Linked DNA regions of Caenorhabditis elegans. The protein of the gene in region 3 purifies or fractionates together with the protein of the main gene of each other region. This does not show direct contact. Each region holds a gene or a part of one and is shown on either strand. Other genes may lie near its edges.

Evidence for each region.
Region 1: the proteins of F38A1.8 (region 3) and mrps-25 fractionate together in Caenorhabditis elegans (co-fractionation; one large-scale study listed by BioGRID). This does not show direct contact.
Region 2: the proteins of F38A1.8 (region 3) and cysl-1 fractionate together in Caenorhabditis elegans (co-fractionation; one large-scale study listed by BioGRID). This does not show direct contact.

What each region holds. Positions count from the first base shown.
Region 1 is NC_003282.8:1,054,952-1,058,156, reverse strand, and holds mrps-25 (Small ribosomal subunit protein mS25), read right to left. Parts: upstream 1,266-3,205; 5' UTR 1,253-1,265; coding exon 1,006-1,252; intron 957-1,005; coding exon 790-956; intron 742-789; coding exon 643-741; 3' UTR 538-642; downstream 1-537. Other genes in the region: Y55F3AM.13 (FH2 domain-containing protein), read left to right, coding at 1,857-1,985, 2,027-2,612, 2,677-2,822, 2,870-3,073.
Region 2 is NC_003284.9:9,952,042-9,956,877, reverse strand, and holds cysl-1 (Cysteine synthase 1), read left to right. Parts: upstream 1-2,344; coding exon 2,345-2,447; intron 2,448-2,728; coding exon 2,729-2,817; intron 2,818-2,869; coding exon 2,870-2,998; intron 2,999-3,152; coding exon 3,153-3,636; intron 3,637-3,704; coding exon 3,705-3,813; intron 3,814-3,977; coding exon 3,978-4,089; 3' UTR 4,090-4,299; downstream 4,300-4,836.
Region 3 is NC_003282.8:1,233,673-1,242,076, reverse strand, and holds the start of F38A1.8 (SRP54-type proteins GTP-binding domain-containing protein), read left to right. Parts: upstream 1-2,224; 5' UTR 2,225-2,292; coding exon 2,293-2,349; intron 2,350-2,493; coding exon 2,494-2,640; intron 2,641-2,686; coding exon 2,687-2,791; intron 2,792-3,416; coding exon 3,417-3,890; intron 3,891-4,934; coding exon 4,935-5,068; intron 5,069-5,466; coding exon 5,467-5,582; intron 5,583-6,270; coding exon 6,271-6,576; intron 6,577-7,148; coding exon 7,149-7,381; intron 7,382-8,239; coding exon 8,240-8,404. Other genes in the region: F38A1.15 (PAN-3 domain-containing protein), read left to right, coding at 95-115, 167-255, 300-648, 701-745.

The sequences.
Region 1 (3,205 bases), 180 kb from region 3:
GTTGTTCCCCGTATACACATTGATTTCTGGTCAAAATAATTGTAATTTAATACACATATAAATCATATATTATCGGTTATATTAATTTTTCAAAAAAAAATTTTGGGTCTCGTCACGAAATTTTCGAAAGAAAAGAAGTTTCTTCGAAAATAGTCATGATTATACTTATTCAAACCGGCTTGCCACGCTGATTTCAAAAATATAAGTTTCATGGGTCTCGCAGCGAAATTGGCTGGGTTACTGTAGATTTAAAGGCTAAATTTAGGCCAAAGTCGTTCAATTTTCGTTCAAATTTTAAAAATTTTAAAACCTATGCTTGAGTAAACTCATTCAAACTGGCTTGACACGCTGATTTCAAAAATATGTCTTTCTTGGGTCTCACAGCGAAATTTATCGGGTTACTGTAGACTTTAGAGCCGATTTCAGGCCAAATCATGACGATTTAGGCCCAAAATATAGAATTTTTGAAACCCAGGCATGATTATACTTCTTCGAACCTTCTCGTCGTGAATATTGCGGCAAAAAGATTGTAAAACTGAAAAAAAAAATCGTTTTTTCAACAAAAAACAAGGAAGATCGACACAAAAACTAGCTAGAAATAGGGGGAAATAGGAAATTTACACAAAAATCAATCGATATAAATTAGATGAGATTATGATTCCATCGATATTTTCCGGTGACACATTGCGGTGCTCGCAGGAGTCCCGTGCACGGATGTTGGCCTTGAACTTCGCACATACACTGAAAAAATGAACGATTTTTTGCCGATTTTTCGCGCAATTTTCAGACCTGTCGCTCATTTTTGGATCCGAAATCGGCGGGATTAAGCTTGGCAATACTCTCCAAATGCTCTCTTCGCTCCACTAATTCCGTTTTTCCTAGCGTTTTCGCCAATAATTTCTCGATTTCCTCGCGCTTCATGCCGTCCAAGTCGAATAGCACTTCCCGGCCGTCGTCTGAAACATTTTTTAGTAGAATTTTGTGGATTTTCAGCTTGAAACTTACTCAGATATGCTCTGGCAAAGGGCGTCACAACTTTATCGGCATGCTTAACGAGCTGAACTTTTGGATTGTGATATTGAAGCTGCGCCCAGTTCCAGTAGACGAAATCTCGTGCTCCAGACTGCTCGGGCGTCGGATTTTTATGAAAACCCATCGAGAACACGTTGACGTTGTCGCGAAGCTTCACTTTTCCCTGCTGGAGATAGAAGAATGTCCGCCGAAGCGGCATGGACCCGTGCATGAACGGCATTTCTGGTTTTGAGCTGAAAAAGGAAGGAATTTCGTGGGAAAACGCTGAATATGAGATTACGATAAATTTATGCAAAAGATAGAATTAAAAAACCACTGGAAAAAGCTAAAAAATCGCTTGAAAATGAGAAAAAAAATATATAATTAAAATAAATAATTTTCCTCCCAACGACACTCCGATATCACGTTGTGCGCCTTCTTTATCGTAAATCCACATTTGCTTTTATTTCTGATTTTTGGGTTTTTTAGCTGTTTTCAAGCTATTTTATATCAAAATTCAGTAAAAACCGGTAATTTTTCGTCTATTTCCCGCAAAAATTACATAAATCATGTAAAAATGCTGATTTTATACCAAAAATTCACTAAAAATAAATAACACGCACTTGTTAATTCGGAGCATCGTTGTTTTAAACTCTAAATTTTTTTTCCAGAAATTTGATGGTTTTCCCAGTTTTTCAAGCATATTTCATGTTTTTTGGTGCCTTTAACGCTTCTGAAAAATTTTAGATTCTCGAAATTCCATCTTACAATCTCTCGATTGCTCTGAAAATCTCAAAAATCTCAAGATTTCGTATAAAATAGGATTTTCCAGGGTAAATCACGCGATGCCAATGTACAAGCTGACACCGACGTTCCCACCGAATTTTGAGGTTCATCCGAAAATCGCCTGCTATCCAGTAGGTTCGTATCATAATCCATCTTTCGGAGGAGTCGGGCCTTCTGATGCGGTGCAGGTAATAGACGGATTTTGGCTCAAAAAAAACTGAAATTTCAGGTAGAATCCGATCCGCGCAAGGCTTTGGAGCACAAACAGCTCTCACTGATCGAGCAGCTCAAAGCACAGACCGAAGAGCTCAAGAAGTTGCTGGTAAGCCTTGGAGAGGCTGGAAAAGCAGAGAGATCTGCTCAAAAACCTGCGGAAAAAGCGCCAAAAGAGCCTGAGAAATCCGCTGGAGCAGCCTCTTCAGCTCCCGGAGTCCCCGGAGCCCCCGCAAAACTAGACAAGGACGCCAAGAAGGAGGCTCGCAAGGCTGCCAAGGCAGAAGCCGTAAAGAAATTGGCTTCCGGAGAGGCTCCACCACAGAAATCCGCGAAAAAGACCGTAAATTCGACTCCATGGACCGTCCAGGACGACCGAAAGACGTGGGAGACCAATCTGACTCTCACCGTGAATCTCCCAACCTCCCTTGTGGCCTACGAGCCGCAGGAGCAGCTGAAAAACGCCACGCTGACAGTGCGGGACGTGGATTTGCCGTGGGCTCGGGCTCTCGCAAAGGTCGGCGCAAGCCGTGGAGTCTCGTTTGAGGGAGAAGTCAAAAATCAGACGAAAGAGAAGAAATCCAGTCTGAAAGTTGTGAAAGGTGCGGGATTTTTTCTCTAAAAATCAGAATTTTATGATATACCCTTAATTTTCAATATTTTCAGGCCCTGCTCCCTCCCTGCAATTGGAAAAAACTACCGTCAAATCCCTTCAAACTATCTGGAAGCTGTTGGGCTCTTCACTCGGGCTCTTCTCTAGACGGCCACAACAAGTGCTCAGCGCCAGTCATCAAGCGATTTGGCTGGGAAAAGTAGGAAATTTTAGAAACTTTCCCAAAAAAATCAAATTTTCTTTCAGGCCGAGCAAATCCTTGCCGGCTCCTGTGATCAGAGCTTTGTCACACGTGAAGCTTCTCAGTTCCTGGCTCGTTTCGACTCGTTAAGCTCTCAATGGGAGGTGTGTGTCGCTGATATTGTGTTCAGAAGCCTTCTGAACCTTGGGGAGCACCTTCCGAACAATGTGGAGTTGTGGGCTAAGAAGATTGACGCTTTGATTGTTTAGATTTGATTTATTGATGTTTTTATTTGATTTTCTCGGTTTAAATGAATTATTTTGCATTTTTATCTGATTTTTTCGTTTAAGAAACAAATTTTTTGCTTTAAAAATTCAGTTTACAATTACAACGATACTCCA
Region 2 (4,836 bases), on a different chromosome or scaffold from region 3:
AACCAACACCCCCACATGGTTATTACGTGATTCGTTATTGTTTTGATTTTTCTTTGCGTCATTTTCGAGTACCCCTAAATTGTACTTTGTGACTTCCCTTTTGAATTTACTGCATGCATTATAAAATGTGAGGTTTGGTTGTTCTATGTGCAAGGGTTCAGAGAAAAGCGCATGCTGCTCATTAATACTTCATTCTGATGTGTGAATTCTTAAGGCTGCGGATTTTCTATATATGTAGTTTCGAGAAACCTCTCTTCAGCTTACGATTAAACTTGTTCTGAAGTTCGAATTTCATGTTAGCAAGTAGATTTTTATCTTCTTTTCTAGATTGAAAATTTAATTCGCAACTGTTTTTGGCATCATTGTAATAAAATGGCAAGAAGTACACTGCGAAACTAAATAGCGACAACCGATTCACCAGTTTTCAATTTATTCTCCCAAATCCCGAGTGTTCTGCATGCTCTTTCATTTACATTTAATGCTCTCGAGGTCCATATTAATGTTTCTACTCTGGTCGCAAAGCTAATAAGCTTTTATCCGTCAGTTATGCTCCCATGCGTATGCGTTTCGCTAGATTTTCATCTTTTGATCTCTACATCTTAACTGAGAAGTAGTCCCAGTGGTCAAAGTATATATGAATGAAACAGCATGCGTGTGGAAATTGTTATTCAATTCATCGTTGTAATTTCATCAACAAAGAAATTAACAAAAATTGTCTCTGTTACCGCTTTTTAATTTATTTATCAACCTTGGTAGGTCTCCACAATCCAGTTTTGTTCTTTTCTTTTTATCGTTTGTGTTTTATATCTTTTTGCAAAAGATATAGAGATAAATGCATGCTCGACAGTATAATTCTTATATTCAACGTTTCTGGACGACGTGGGAATTTTCCCATGCTACTGATGAAGTCTGAAGTGCATAGAAGAAATAGCACGAGTGACCTTTTGCTTTCTGGACATTATTGCATGCAAACTACTACTTTTTGCTTACTTCACACTATTTCGACACTACTATTATTGGTTTTCTCAATCATCAAATGTGTTTTCAAAGAATTTTGAAACATATCCAGATAGAAACTGTAAAAAGGTCTAATGCTCTTTAAGAACTGCCGTTTTAAAATGATCAAAGTTTACTTTTTGAAGTAAATTCTGAAAACGCCTCGCGATATCGTGTAATTTGATCGTTTGTTCATTATATTTTTTATTAAGAAAACTCCCCATCACCTCCTATTTCATCCTTCTCGGAGTTTTCTTAGAAGAAAAAGAAAATGGAAAAAGCGTGTGAATGTTTCTATTAGATGACAGGAGATCCATTTTTTACATCCTTCAATTTTTGCAACAAGATTCCACTTCAAAGAATGAAATGTTTCATTAATAAGTGCAGTTTCAAAAGATCAAAATAATACCAGCCGGTTAGTTGTTGCATTTGCTATTTTTACAAAACAAGAACACTAAGTATATATCGAAACGTGCAAGTACTTTTCATTGGTTTAATCCGGTGAGTGGGGCGTTTTCGTGTTTTGTTTAACTCATGACTCATAAAGGTTATTCAGGATAAACTATTCCTAATTACCTATAATAGATGTACATGTAAATGCTTTTCCATGTTTGGAGTTTATCGTGCTTGATCTAGAAAATAACAATTTTTTGAAATAACTCTGTCTGAGTTCCTAAAAAGTTTAATTTATACTTTCGGGAAAAATACGAAGTGGTTTACCTTTTATCATCAAAAATGTCCCAGTTTCTAATAAATGGATATCATCTCTTCTTTTCCCATTGTAAATTTTCCAGCTCACCGACATTTGCATAATGCAATTATGTCATACTGAGCGGTTATTGTTGTTTTATTATCTTATCGTGGATTCATTCTCTCCTTACTTGCTCACTTCATTTTTATAAATCTGTCTCGTTGCAGCTGCTCTATAAGATACAACAACGGGATATTCTTCTATCTCTTGCTCGTTGTGTTGCGTGTTCTGTTTGTTTCCTCATTGCTTCCTTAGAATGTTCATTCAATGGCTCATTAGATGTGTGCCAACCTTTAAGAAATGCCAGCTGATTGTGCATTCGTTCCGCTACACAACATGTACTTAGACATGTGTCGTCTATCTCTCCCTATCTTATAACATTTTCTTTATCTCCTTATCTCCTTCTGTTTAAAAGTCCAACTATCATTTGGAGTTTGGTGTCAAAACCAGCAGAAACAGATGATAGAAAAATATTTTGTTTCCGTGCCAATAGTCATTGATAGTTTAAAATATTTCTTTCCTGTGATATAGTTTTCCCTTTTCTGCGTTCTCTCGTTATTGTCTACACTCTCATTTAACTCATAGTCGATGTTTCAGATGGCTGATCGCAACTCTATTGGCGAAAATGCTGCCGCGCTTATTGGCAACACACCCATGGTGTACATCAATAAATTGACAAAAGGACTTCCAGGGACAGTTGGTTGGTTTATTCATTTGAATTAAACGAAATCTTAAAAAATGTTTTGAACAATACTGGTGAAACTTTGAATTTTTTTGTTTCTTTTATGCAATACCACTGTAACCGAGTTTTGTAACTTCTCAACAAAATATAACTTTGACAAATAGTCTCACTTAAAAGAAAGTACGAAAAATAGTAAAACCAGAACGTAGATAAAATTGAATTTTACAAATCAAAAATGTTTTGAATTTTCAAGAAGAAACAAAAGTCCAATTATCCTATTATAATTTTCAAGTTTACAGCTGTAAAAATCGAATACATGAATCCAGCGGGATCGGTCAAAGATCGTATTGGAGCGGCAATGCTTGCAGCGGCCGAAAAAGATGGAACGGTGCTTCATCAACAATACCATTGTTCAAAAAATTGCATTAAAATTTTTTAAGGTGATCCCGGGAGTGACCACGCTCATTGAGCCAACATCAGGAAACACTGGAATCGCATTGGCTTTTGTTGCTGCCGCCAAGGGGTATAGATGTATTGTCACAATGCCAGCATCTATGAGTGGAGAACGCGTGAGTATTGATCTTATGGATGCAAATCTTCACCCCAGGAATTGCCAGTACTGAAACCTTTTTTTTTAGCTATTGAGTACAGTTGTGTCATCTGTGATTTTAAACAAATCTCCGGGTTGAAAATTTTTTAACATATAAAATATATATCTTACAGAGAACTCTTCTCAAAGCATATGGATCCGAGGTGGTCTTGACAGACCCAGCGAAAGGAATGAAAGGAGCGATTGACATGGCTAACCAGCTGAAGGAAAACATTCCAGGGTCTATCATTCTTGCTCAATTTGACAACCCAAATAATCCACTTGTTCACTATCAAACAACTGGACCAGAAATTTGGAGACAAACCAAAGGGACAGTAGACGCTGTTGTTTTTGGGGTTGGAACTGGTGGAACAATTACCGGAGTTGGCAGATACTTGCAAGAGCAGAATCCAGGTGTCCGCGTGTTTGCTGTGGAGCCAGAAGAATCCGCTATACTCAGCGGCAGACCAGCCGGTCCACACAAAATTCAAGGCATTGGAGCAGGGTTTGCTCCAGCTGTTTTGGACACAAAGATCTATGAAGACGTAATTCGAATTCATTCCGATGAGGCTATTGTCATGGCTCAAAGACTTTCCTATGAAGAAGGTCTTCTTGGCGGTAGGTTGTGTGACTGTGTTTGCTTTGATAGTTTGAAAGAAGTATGTTTTTAAAATTCTATATTTTAGGAATTTCCTCCGGAGCTAATGTTGCAGCTGCACTTCAGTTGGCTGCTCGCCCAGAAATGGCTGGAAAGCTCATTGTGACTTGTTTGCCAAGCTGTGGAGAACGATACATGTAAGATGACTGACTTAAAATGTTACTTGTGATGTGAGCTAGTAGTTTGCATCTGATTCCTCGGATGTTGAGTATTTCTGATAGAAAGTTAAACAACTATTGAATCTTTAACGTAGTAATCATGTACAATTTACTGTGATTGATCTTAAAAACCATTTTTCCAGGACCTCTCCTTTGTACACCGACATCCGCGAAAGCGCTATGGCTCTGGCAGTCGAAAGCTTGGAGGCAAACTTGAAGAAGTTATGTCTTCACAACTATGATATTATGGAGTGATTTAAATCAAAAATTCATCTCACTTTTTTCTTTTTTCTTTCATTTAAATTCTTTCACCCAAAAATTATCAAGGTTGTTACTCACTAAAAATGATAAATCGGCTGGTAATTCAATCAAAAAACCTACACATTATAATAATTTGCATTCTTTCGTATTTTTTCCATGTAAATGTTCCGCTGTCTATTTTTTCAATAAATGCAATTAGTGTTTTGTACTGTGATCTAAGATAGCTTGTATGCTTTGAACCCGCAGACACTAAGATTGGTGTTGAACTGACGAAACTGGGAGGATAACCGACTTTTTTAAAAACAATTAAACCATTAGCACAGTGAGGCATGAAATAGGCTTGTCGATGTCTCATGAAAAGGTCAGTGCAGATAGAAACACTGACCCTAATAAGGAGGAATGAAACCTGGTTTGGCTAATCGCCAGAAAAATTCTTTCACCGATAGTGGTGGCCAACGAGACAAACGCTGCATGTGGTTTCAAGCGAGAAGTTCAATTTAATTAGTAGTATGGATATTTAACGCGATCTTTATCAAATCGGAAAACTATACCACGGAGGTCTGGTTTGATGGTTTCACTATGAAATTATTTGAGCGGAAAGTTCACAGTTTTCTAGCTGACTCCTTTGAACATGTTCAGTTGAATTGACATAAACTTAAATGGTTCACGTACCCATCTTTTTGGAAAAGAGTAATGGAAAAGTTCTAGTAGCATATTTGCGAAATTAAAACAATCCTAATA
Region 3 (8,404 bases):
TAGAAAAATACTCATCAGAAAATTTGGGCTCTGGAAGTCCGAATTGGTCCTTTTGGACGGCTCTAGAGGCAATCTGTCATTTTTTTTTTTTCAGACAACAATCAGCAAAACTGTCGTAAGTTATTTTTACTCTCTAACGCAAAACATATCTACAAATCTCCTTTAGCCACAACCTTACTATCACTACCTTACTTCCAAGTTCCTGCCCGGCTCCACTTTCTTCATGACCGGACAGATTTCTTCATCTCAACATCGGTAAAGCCTGGACTGGTACTTTAAATATTCTATGACCTTTTCAGCTTCACCATTTCATTCTACAATACGATCACCAGATTCTACCCACTTTATGTCGAAGTTAGGAATTTCATCGGCAGCGGCCAGACAGCGCTTAATATGTACACATACAATGGTAACACACGGATTAAAGTGCAAACGGAGAAAAGTCCGTATACGTATGGAGAAACGTTCAAGATTTACGTAAATTCTTCTTATACCGAAGCGTTTATTTACTTGGATAACAACGCGATCATCACTCATGAACTGGTGGAAGGTTATAATATGACAGATATCGATTCATTTGTTATTAATATAACAAATGAATCGACAGAAGTGGCGTTAGACTTTCTGGGATGGACCGGAGATTGTTGGGTGAGAAACTAAGAAATTTGATCTACTGACCAATAGTACACTTAATTTTCAGTTCGAGCCAATTCCAGCAACACCTCCCGTGCAGCCTGAGCTCTAAGTCATGAATTACATATAATTGTCATCCTACTGCTTATTTCACTATGTTAGAATAAAGCATTGTTAATATAACAAAAACTTTTTGGATTTGCCCGTTTTCTCTTTGATTTTATCTATACCTGCCTCAAATCTTAACTCAAGTATAAAATATTGCGCAAGCAGAGATGATTAGCGCATTTCTCGTGTCCGACGCTGGCGCGAAACTAGTTTTGCTCGAAGCGGCGTATTGATTCGCTGCTCATTGCGCCAGATTTATAGTTTTTAGCAGTGGTGTGCGGCAAATTTGCCGTTTGCCGAGCTCGGCAAATTTCGAAAAAGTAGATTTGCCAAATTTTCCGAGCTCTGCAAATTTCGAAATTTGCCGCACACGTCAAAAACTTTGCAGTACAATTCTGACCAAAACTATTGATTGCCGCTGAAAGTTTAGTAAAATGACACGAAATTGAGTTATTTAGATGCTTGAGCAAACATACTACATGGAACTTATTCTGAAACCAGATGTGTGTTAAGAAATCAGTAGTTTTGGTGCTCCAAAAAGCATAAAAAATACCAAAATTTTCGGAGTTTGTTAAGCACGGTAAATTTGCCGAATCTGTCGAGCTCGGCAAATATTGGAAAAAGAGATTTGCCGAATTTGAGATTTTTTTGAGAATTTTGACCCCTGGTTTTTAGCCAGGTTAGCTTATTTTTTATTGATTGTTCTTGGCTCCGAAGATCAGCTTTTTTTTATAGAATGTTTTCCGGTTTCATGATGATTCGAACCGGATTTCTTGACTCTTGTTTTTTTCTAAAGCTTTTCGCAATAAAAGGTTTGTGAGTTTGAAAACCGGGGGTTTTATTTCGGGGCGATCGCCAGGCTTGAACAGGCGAATTCCTAACTAGTTCTGTGATTTTAGGTGACGTTAGCTGAAGGATGTTCAATTTTTTTTCAAATGCATTTGGCTTAGTGCTCTTTCGAACTTTTTGTCTAACTTTCTAGTGTGTTCTTTCAATTTTCCAGGAAAAAAACATCATTTTTCAGTGACAGATCGCCTAGTAACATGCACGGCTCCATTTTTGCAGCTCCTTGCATCAGGAACCAGTTCACTCGTCATGTAGCTTTCGGTCTTCCTGTTCCTTTTTCCAATTCAAACTTTGATTTTGGTAGTTTTACCTGAGCAAACTGAGCATCTGAAAATGATTTTTTTTGAATTTGTTTCACGCGGTTTTGGCTACCCTCATACATTAAAAAAAAAAAATTAAAAAATTAAATTTGTTTTGAGGCATTGAAAAAATATCTTTAAACTAATACAATCACTCTCTAACTGAACAGATTTCCGCAATTTTCAACAATTCATTCCATTTTTATTCGCCAAAAATCATAATTTCTCTTTTTTCAATATTTGAATTCAATAACTTTCCTCCAAAAAGAAAGTGTGCATTGTGTCGTCAAATGCGGTATTCTGGTACCATGAACCCAAGACTTGACGCGCAAAACTACACGTGTTGTGCAGTTTTTTGCGTTGAAATTTTCGGAATAAATCTAAAAATTTCAGTTTTCCGGCTAAAATGATCGAACTTTTTTCGATTTTCACGAAAGGAGGCGTCTGCCTGTGGAATTATCAGGTAATTTATTGGAAAAAACTGGGTAAAATTGGTTTTTGCCTCAAAAAACTTCAAAATCATCGGAAATCCTCGATTTTTAACATTCTCCGCATCAGAAAATCGATAAAAATTCAGTTTTCAGTGTTTTAAATGCCCATTTTACAGGAAGGCGATTATAACTTCACGGAAGCCATCAATAATGAGCTGATTAAGGGAACACTGATGGAAGAACGTGGAAATAGTGGACAGAAAAAAGTTGGAAATTATACAATGAAATTTCAGCTTGATAATGAGTATAATGTCATTTTTTTGGTAGAAAAACCATATTTTTTCCTCAAAAAATCAATAAAAATTGCAGGTAATTTATCAAACAATTGTGAATTTAAATTATGCGGAAAAACTGCTCAATTTGGTCGTTGATAGCTTTCGAGGAGAGTTTTCCGAGAATTTGAGAGAAGAAACAGTGAGTTTTCGTTAAAAAATTGAACAAAAATCTCTATTTTTCCACCAAAAACCGAGTTTTTGACAAAAAAAAAATCGATTTTTGGTTCAAAATTAGCTGAAAACACAATTTTTATTGATAAAAATCGTAAAATTATGGAAATTAAGCTGTAGAAGCGTAATTTCTCGAAAAAAAAAGTGCCAAAAACCTTGAATTTCAATTAAAAAATTTTTTGCTAAAAAATTCGAAAAATTCTCATTTCTGCTGTAAAAGTCAAAAAACTTCAATTTTTTGGTAGAAAAATGCTGAAAATCTCAAATTTCACCTTAAAACAGTCATTTTTTTAATTAAAAATTTTTCCGCAAAAAAAATTTCTGAAACCCCCATTTTTCTCTCAAAAGTCCCAAAAATCTCAAATTTCAGCTAAAAACTGCAATTTTCGTGGAAAATTTTTTTAAAAACTTCATTTTTGTCAGAAAAGTCCCAAAAATCTCAAATTTCAGCTAAAAAGATGATATTTTTTCTAAAAAAATGCTCAAAATTCAATTTTCCATCTAAAAACACCACTTTTGCGCGCGGAAAAGTGGCATTTTAGCTGAGAAAAACTAATTTTTTGCGAAAAAAGCTTAAGAATCTATTTTTCCAGGCTCTAACCACTCCTCCGTCGAATATCTACGGAAATTTCGACGAAACCTTTCACGAAGTGCTCTCAGAAGCTGCAAAAAGTGCTCGTGCCACTGAAAACACCGTCAAAAAGCCGAAAACGTTCCAAGAATCTGCAAAATCTCAAAAAACCATCGATTCGCTGATTGTGAGCCGCCCGGGACAGAAAAACGCCGAAAAATCCGCGAAAAACGCTGAAAAAACGCCGAAAAAGCCGGTGGAAAGTGCCGAAGAATCGTCTGCAACTGATTATAATTCAGCATCACCACCTGGAAGCCCGGATGAAGAAGTTTTACGTAGAAGGGATCAAATGTTCAAGAAAATGAGTGGAAATACGAAGAAAAAAGGCCCAGAAGAGCCTACTTCACCTAAGCCCAAGGGAAAACAAGCTAGAGTTTGGGCTTTGAGTGGAAAACCGGCTGACGTCAAAAATCTCGATAGATCCGATCCGAAAGAGGTAGAAATTCGACGAAATTCGCTGAAAAATTGAAGAAAATTAGCTAGTTTTCACCGAAACCGGCGAAAAATCCTCAAAAATTAACTAAAGTCGCTTAAAAATTCCGAGAAATAAGGCTTAAGCTCAGGCTTAGGCTTAAGCTTAGGCTTTAGGCCTAGGTTTAGGCTTAGGCTTAACCCTCGAAACTGAAGAAAATTGGCTAATTTTCACGTAAAATTGCGAAAATTTGAAAAAAAATTGAAAAATTGTTGAAAATCATCAAAAAGTAGCTAAAATTCGTCTTAAAATTCGAAAATATTAGGCTTAAGCTTAGGCTTAGGGCTATGCTCAATCTTAGGCTTAGGCTTAAACTCAGGCTTAAGCTTAGGGGGGACTGAAAAAAAATAGTCTGAAAATTCCGAAAAATCTGAAAAATTGCGAAAAAGCCTTAAAAATTAGCTGAATTTTGTCTTGAAACCCCCTAAAAATTAGGCTTGGCTTAGGCTTATGCTTAGGCTCAGACTTAGGCCTATGCTCAAGCTTAGGCTTAGGCTTAAACTCAGGCTTAAGCATAGGCCGGCCTGGAGAAAACACATGAGTCTAAAATTCCCAAAAATTTCGAAAATGCCTTAAAAATTAGCTGAATTTTGTCTTGAAAACCCCGAAAAAATTAGGCTTAGGTGTAGGCTTAAGCTGAAGCTTAGGATCAGGCTTAGGCTTAGGCGTAGGCCTATGCTCAAGCTTTGGTTCAGGCTTAAACTCAGGCTTAAGCTTAGAGAGACTGTAAAAAAAAGTCTAAAAATTCCCAAAATTTCGAAAAAGCCTTAAAAATTAGCTGAATTTTGTCTTGAAAACCCCGAAAAATTAGGCTTAGGTGTAGGCTTAGGCTTGGCCTTAGGCTTAAAATCAGGCTTAAAATCAGGCTTAAGCTTAGGCCGGTCTGGAGAAAATAAGAGTCTAAAATTCCCAAAAATTTCGAAAAATCTGAAATTTCGGTTCAATTATTACAGTTATTACAGCTAAAAATCCGGTCATTTATTCAATTTTACCCAAATTTTTTTCCAGAATGACGAAAATGCCGCCGATGAGGAGAAAAATCGCTTCGTTGAGAGTATGAAGGAACAAATTGGAACACTTAAAGGAGATTTAAAGTCACTTCAGGAGTCTGATGATGAAGATGAAGATGATAATGATCAGCAGTAAGAAAATTGACTGAAAATCTCGAAAAATAAACAAAAAAATGAATTTTTACCCGAAAAATTCATCAATTTTCACATTTTTTTCGTGAAAATCCGAATGTTTGGATTAAAAAACATGAAAATATCGTTGAAATGGATCACATTTTCGTCTGAAAAATAAGAAAATAACTTGAAAAATTTGAATTTGGATTATTAAAAACGGTCGAACAAACTTTTAAAGTGGAAAATTTTTTCTTTTTTAATTTTTTTTCTTTTTTAATTGAAAAATTGCGGAAAAATCAGAGTTCAGCTAATTTTCTTTAAATTTTCCATCATCAAATCCCACTATTTTCATGAAAAAAAATCGTGTTTTTTTGCCGATTTTCCCTTAGTTTTCTCTAAAATCCAGTAATTTTCAGAGTTGTAAAGCAGTCTGGCGGATGGTTCAGTATGATTAAAGGACTTGTTGGAGAGAAGAAGCTTAGCGCTGAAGATCTGAATCCATTAATTGAAAAAATGAGAGAAAATTTGATTTGTGAGTTTGGAAAACTGAAAAAAAAAATCATATAAATAATCAAATTTTTAAACAAAATTCAAAAGAAAAATTAATATTGGAAAATCAATAAATTATTGGTTTTCAATAAAATTATCAATTTCTCCCCGTAAGCCGAAAAATATTCAAATTTTTCCATGAAACAAATTGATTTTTTTTGTGGAAAAACATCTGAAATAGCTCAAAAAAAACTTTTTATCATCGATTTTGAGATAAAATCTCAAAATTATTTTAAAAAATCGATAAAATATCATCGATTATTACAAAAAAATCCGAAAACAATGAAATTTGTACCAAAAAGTCTCGAAAAAAATCCAATTTCGTGCGAAAAATTGATAATTTATCGATTTTTCCTTTTTTTCCTTGCGAAAAAAATTGCCAATTTTTCGCAAAAATCCATAATTTATCGATTTTTTGAGCGATTTTTGATGCTTTGAAAAAAAAAAAACAGAAAATCGATATTTTAGTGAATTTATCGTGTAAAATTCGATTATTTCTCGGCTTATGGGGAAAAATCGATAAATTATCAATTTTTGCAGAAAAAAGGCACAAAAAATTACCATCGTGCGAAAAATCGACTATCGATTTCACACGCAATAAACTGTAGAAAATTAGTGAAAATCTCTCAAGATTCGCTTCTTCAAAAAATCAATAAATTATCGATTTTCAGTGAAAAACGTTGCTTCGGAGCCAGCGGAGAAGATCTGTCAATCAGTTGTGTCAAAATTGGAGGGAAAAGTGGTGAATAACTTTTCTCGAGTTGCTCAAGAAGTTAAAACTGCCGTCCGCGAGTCCCTTGTCCAACTTTTGACCCCGAAACATCGTGTAGACATTCTTCGTGACGTCATCGAAGCGAAACGGGACGGTCGACCCTATGTCATTGTGTTCTGTGGAGTTAATGGAGTTGGAAAATCGACAAATCTCGCGAAAATTACATTTTGGCTCACTGAGAACAAGCATCGCGTGCTCATTGCAGGTAAAAACCCGTAAAATCCGCGGAAAAAAATTGAAAAAACCACAAAAAATGTGCAAAAAAAACTTGCAAAACCGAAAAATTTCAATAATCATAAAAATTTGAAAAAAAAAATGTTTAAAACTGAAAAATTCTGAAAAAAATTACGAATTTTGACTGAAAACACTTTTTTTTCAAATTTTTTAATTTTTTAACCGAAAATTTTGTCGAAAAATCCGCCAATTACGGTAAAAAACGTTGAAAATCTTGAAAAAATAAAATATTGTCTAATTTTTTTTTCGAATTTTACTCAAATTTCAATTTTCAACGAATTTGTATTTTTCCCAGAAATTTAGTGAAAAATCTGAAAAATTCATGAAATTTGAATGAAAACACTCGAAAATCCTGGAAAAAAGAGTTAATTTTGCAGAAAATTCTGTCGAAAAATTGAAAAAAAGTCACAAAATTTTTTTTTGAGGTGGAAATTGTGAATTTATCAATTTTATCTAAAAAAAATTTATCGATTTTTCTAAAACTTTATCGATTTCTCTGAAATTTAATCGATTTTTCTCCAAAAATTATCGATTTTCTTACAGCCGGTGACACATTCCGTGCGGGAGCCGTCGAACAACTGAGAACCCATGCTCGATATCTCAACGATCTTCATAAAAACTCTGTGCTCCTCCACGAACAGGGTTACGGTAAAGACCCGGCGGGTCTCGCAGCGGCCGCCATCAAAAAGGCTGCTGAACAAGATTTCGATGTGGTTTTGGTGGATACTGCCGGCCGAATGCAGGATAATGAACCGCTGATGAGAGAGTTGGCCAAGGTAATTCAAATTTTTTTTTTGAAATGTCGAATTCTCCGCTAAATTCTACCCCTACCACATTATTTCTGGGGTTTGTAGCTCAATTTTGAAGTATTTCGGCTTACTGTAGCCCCAAAAGTACGCAAACATCCGAAACACCACATTTTACGCGATTTTGAGATAGAGCTCTGAAAATTCATGGCTAGATGTAGAAAATAGCATAGATTTCGAATTACGCTGTAATATCGCAGAGAAAAATACTTGAGTTACTGAAAATATCTATTTTCTGACCGAAATATTTCAAATGGCTAGTTTTTACCTGAGAATTCGAATTCTCCGCTAAATTTCACCCCCGGCACAATTTTTTTTTGTGATTTTGGCTCAATTTCGACAATTTTGGGTTACTGTAGCCCCGAAAGTACGCAAACACCGACTACCGTAACCCGAAACACCGGATTTTACGCAATTTTGAGCTAGAATTCCCAAAATTCTGAGTTAATTTGCAGAAAATTGCAAGGATTTCAAATGTTCTAGTGAATTCCCCGAGAAAATGTTTTAAACCACTGAAAATCCCGTTTTTCTAGCCTTAATACTTCAAATGGCTAGTTTTTATATCAAAATTCAAATTCCCCGCTGAATTTCACCCCTCGCATATTGTTTCTGAAGTGTGTAGCTCAATTTCGACAATTTCGGGGTACTGTAGCCCCAAAAGTACGCAAACACCAACTACAGTAACCCGAAACACCGGATTTTACGCGATTTTGAGATAGAGCTCTGAAAACTTGGGGTTAAATGCAGAAAATAGCAAGGATTTCGAATTTTCTAGTGAATTCCTCGAGAAAATGTTTCAAACCACTGAAAATTGCGATTTTGTTGCAGCTAATCCGAGTGAATGAGCCCGACTTGGTGTTGTTTGTCGGCGAGGCGCTTGTCGGAAATGAGGCAGTCGATCAACTGGTGAAATTCAATGAAGCTCTGGCAAATCACGCTTCACCCGGGCAAAAGCCCCGTCTAATCGATGGAATTGTGCTCACAAAGTTTGAT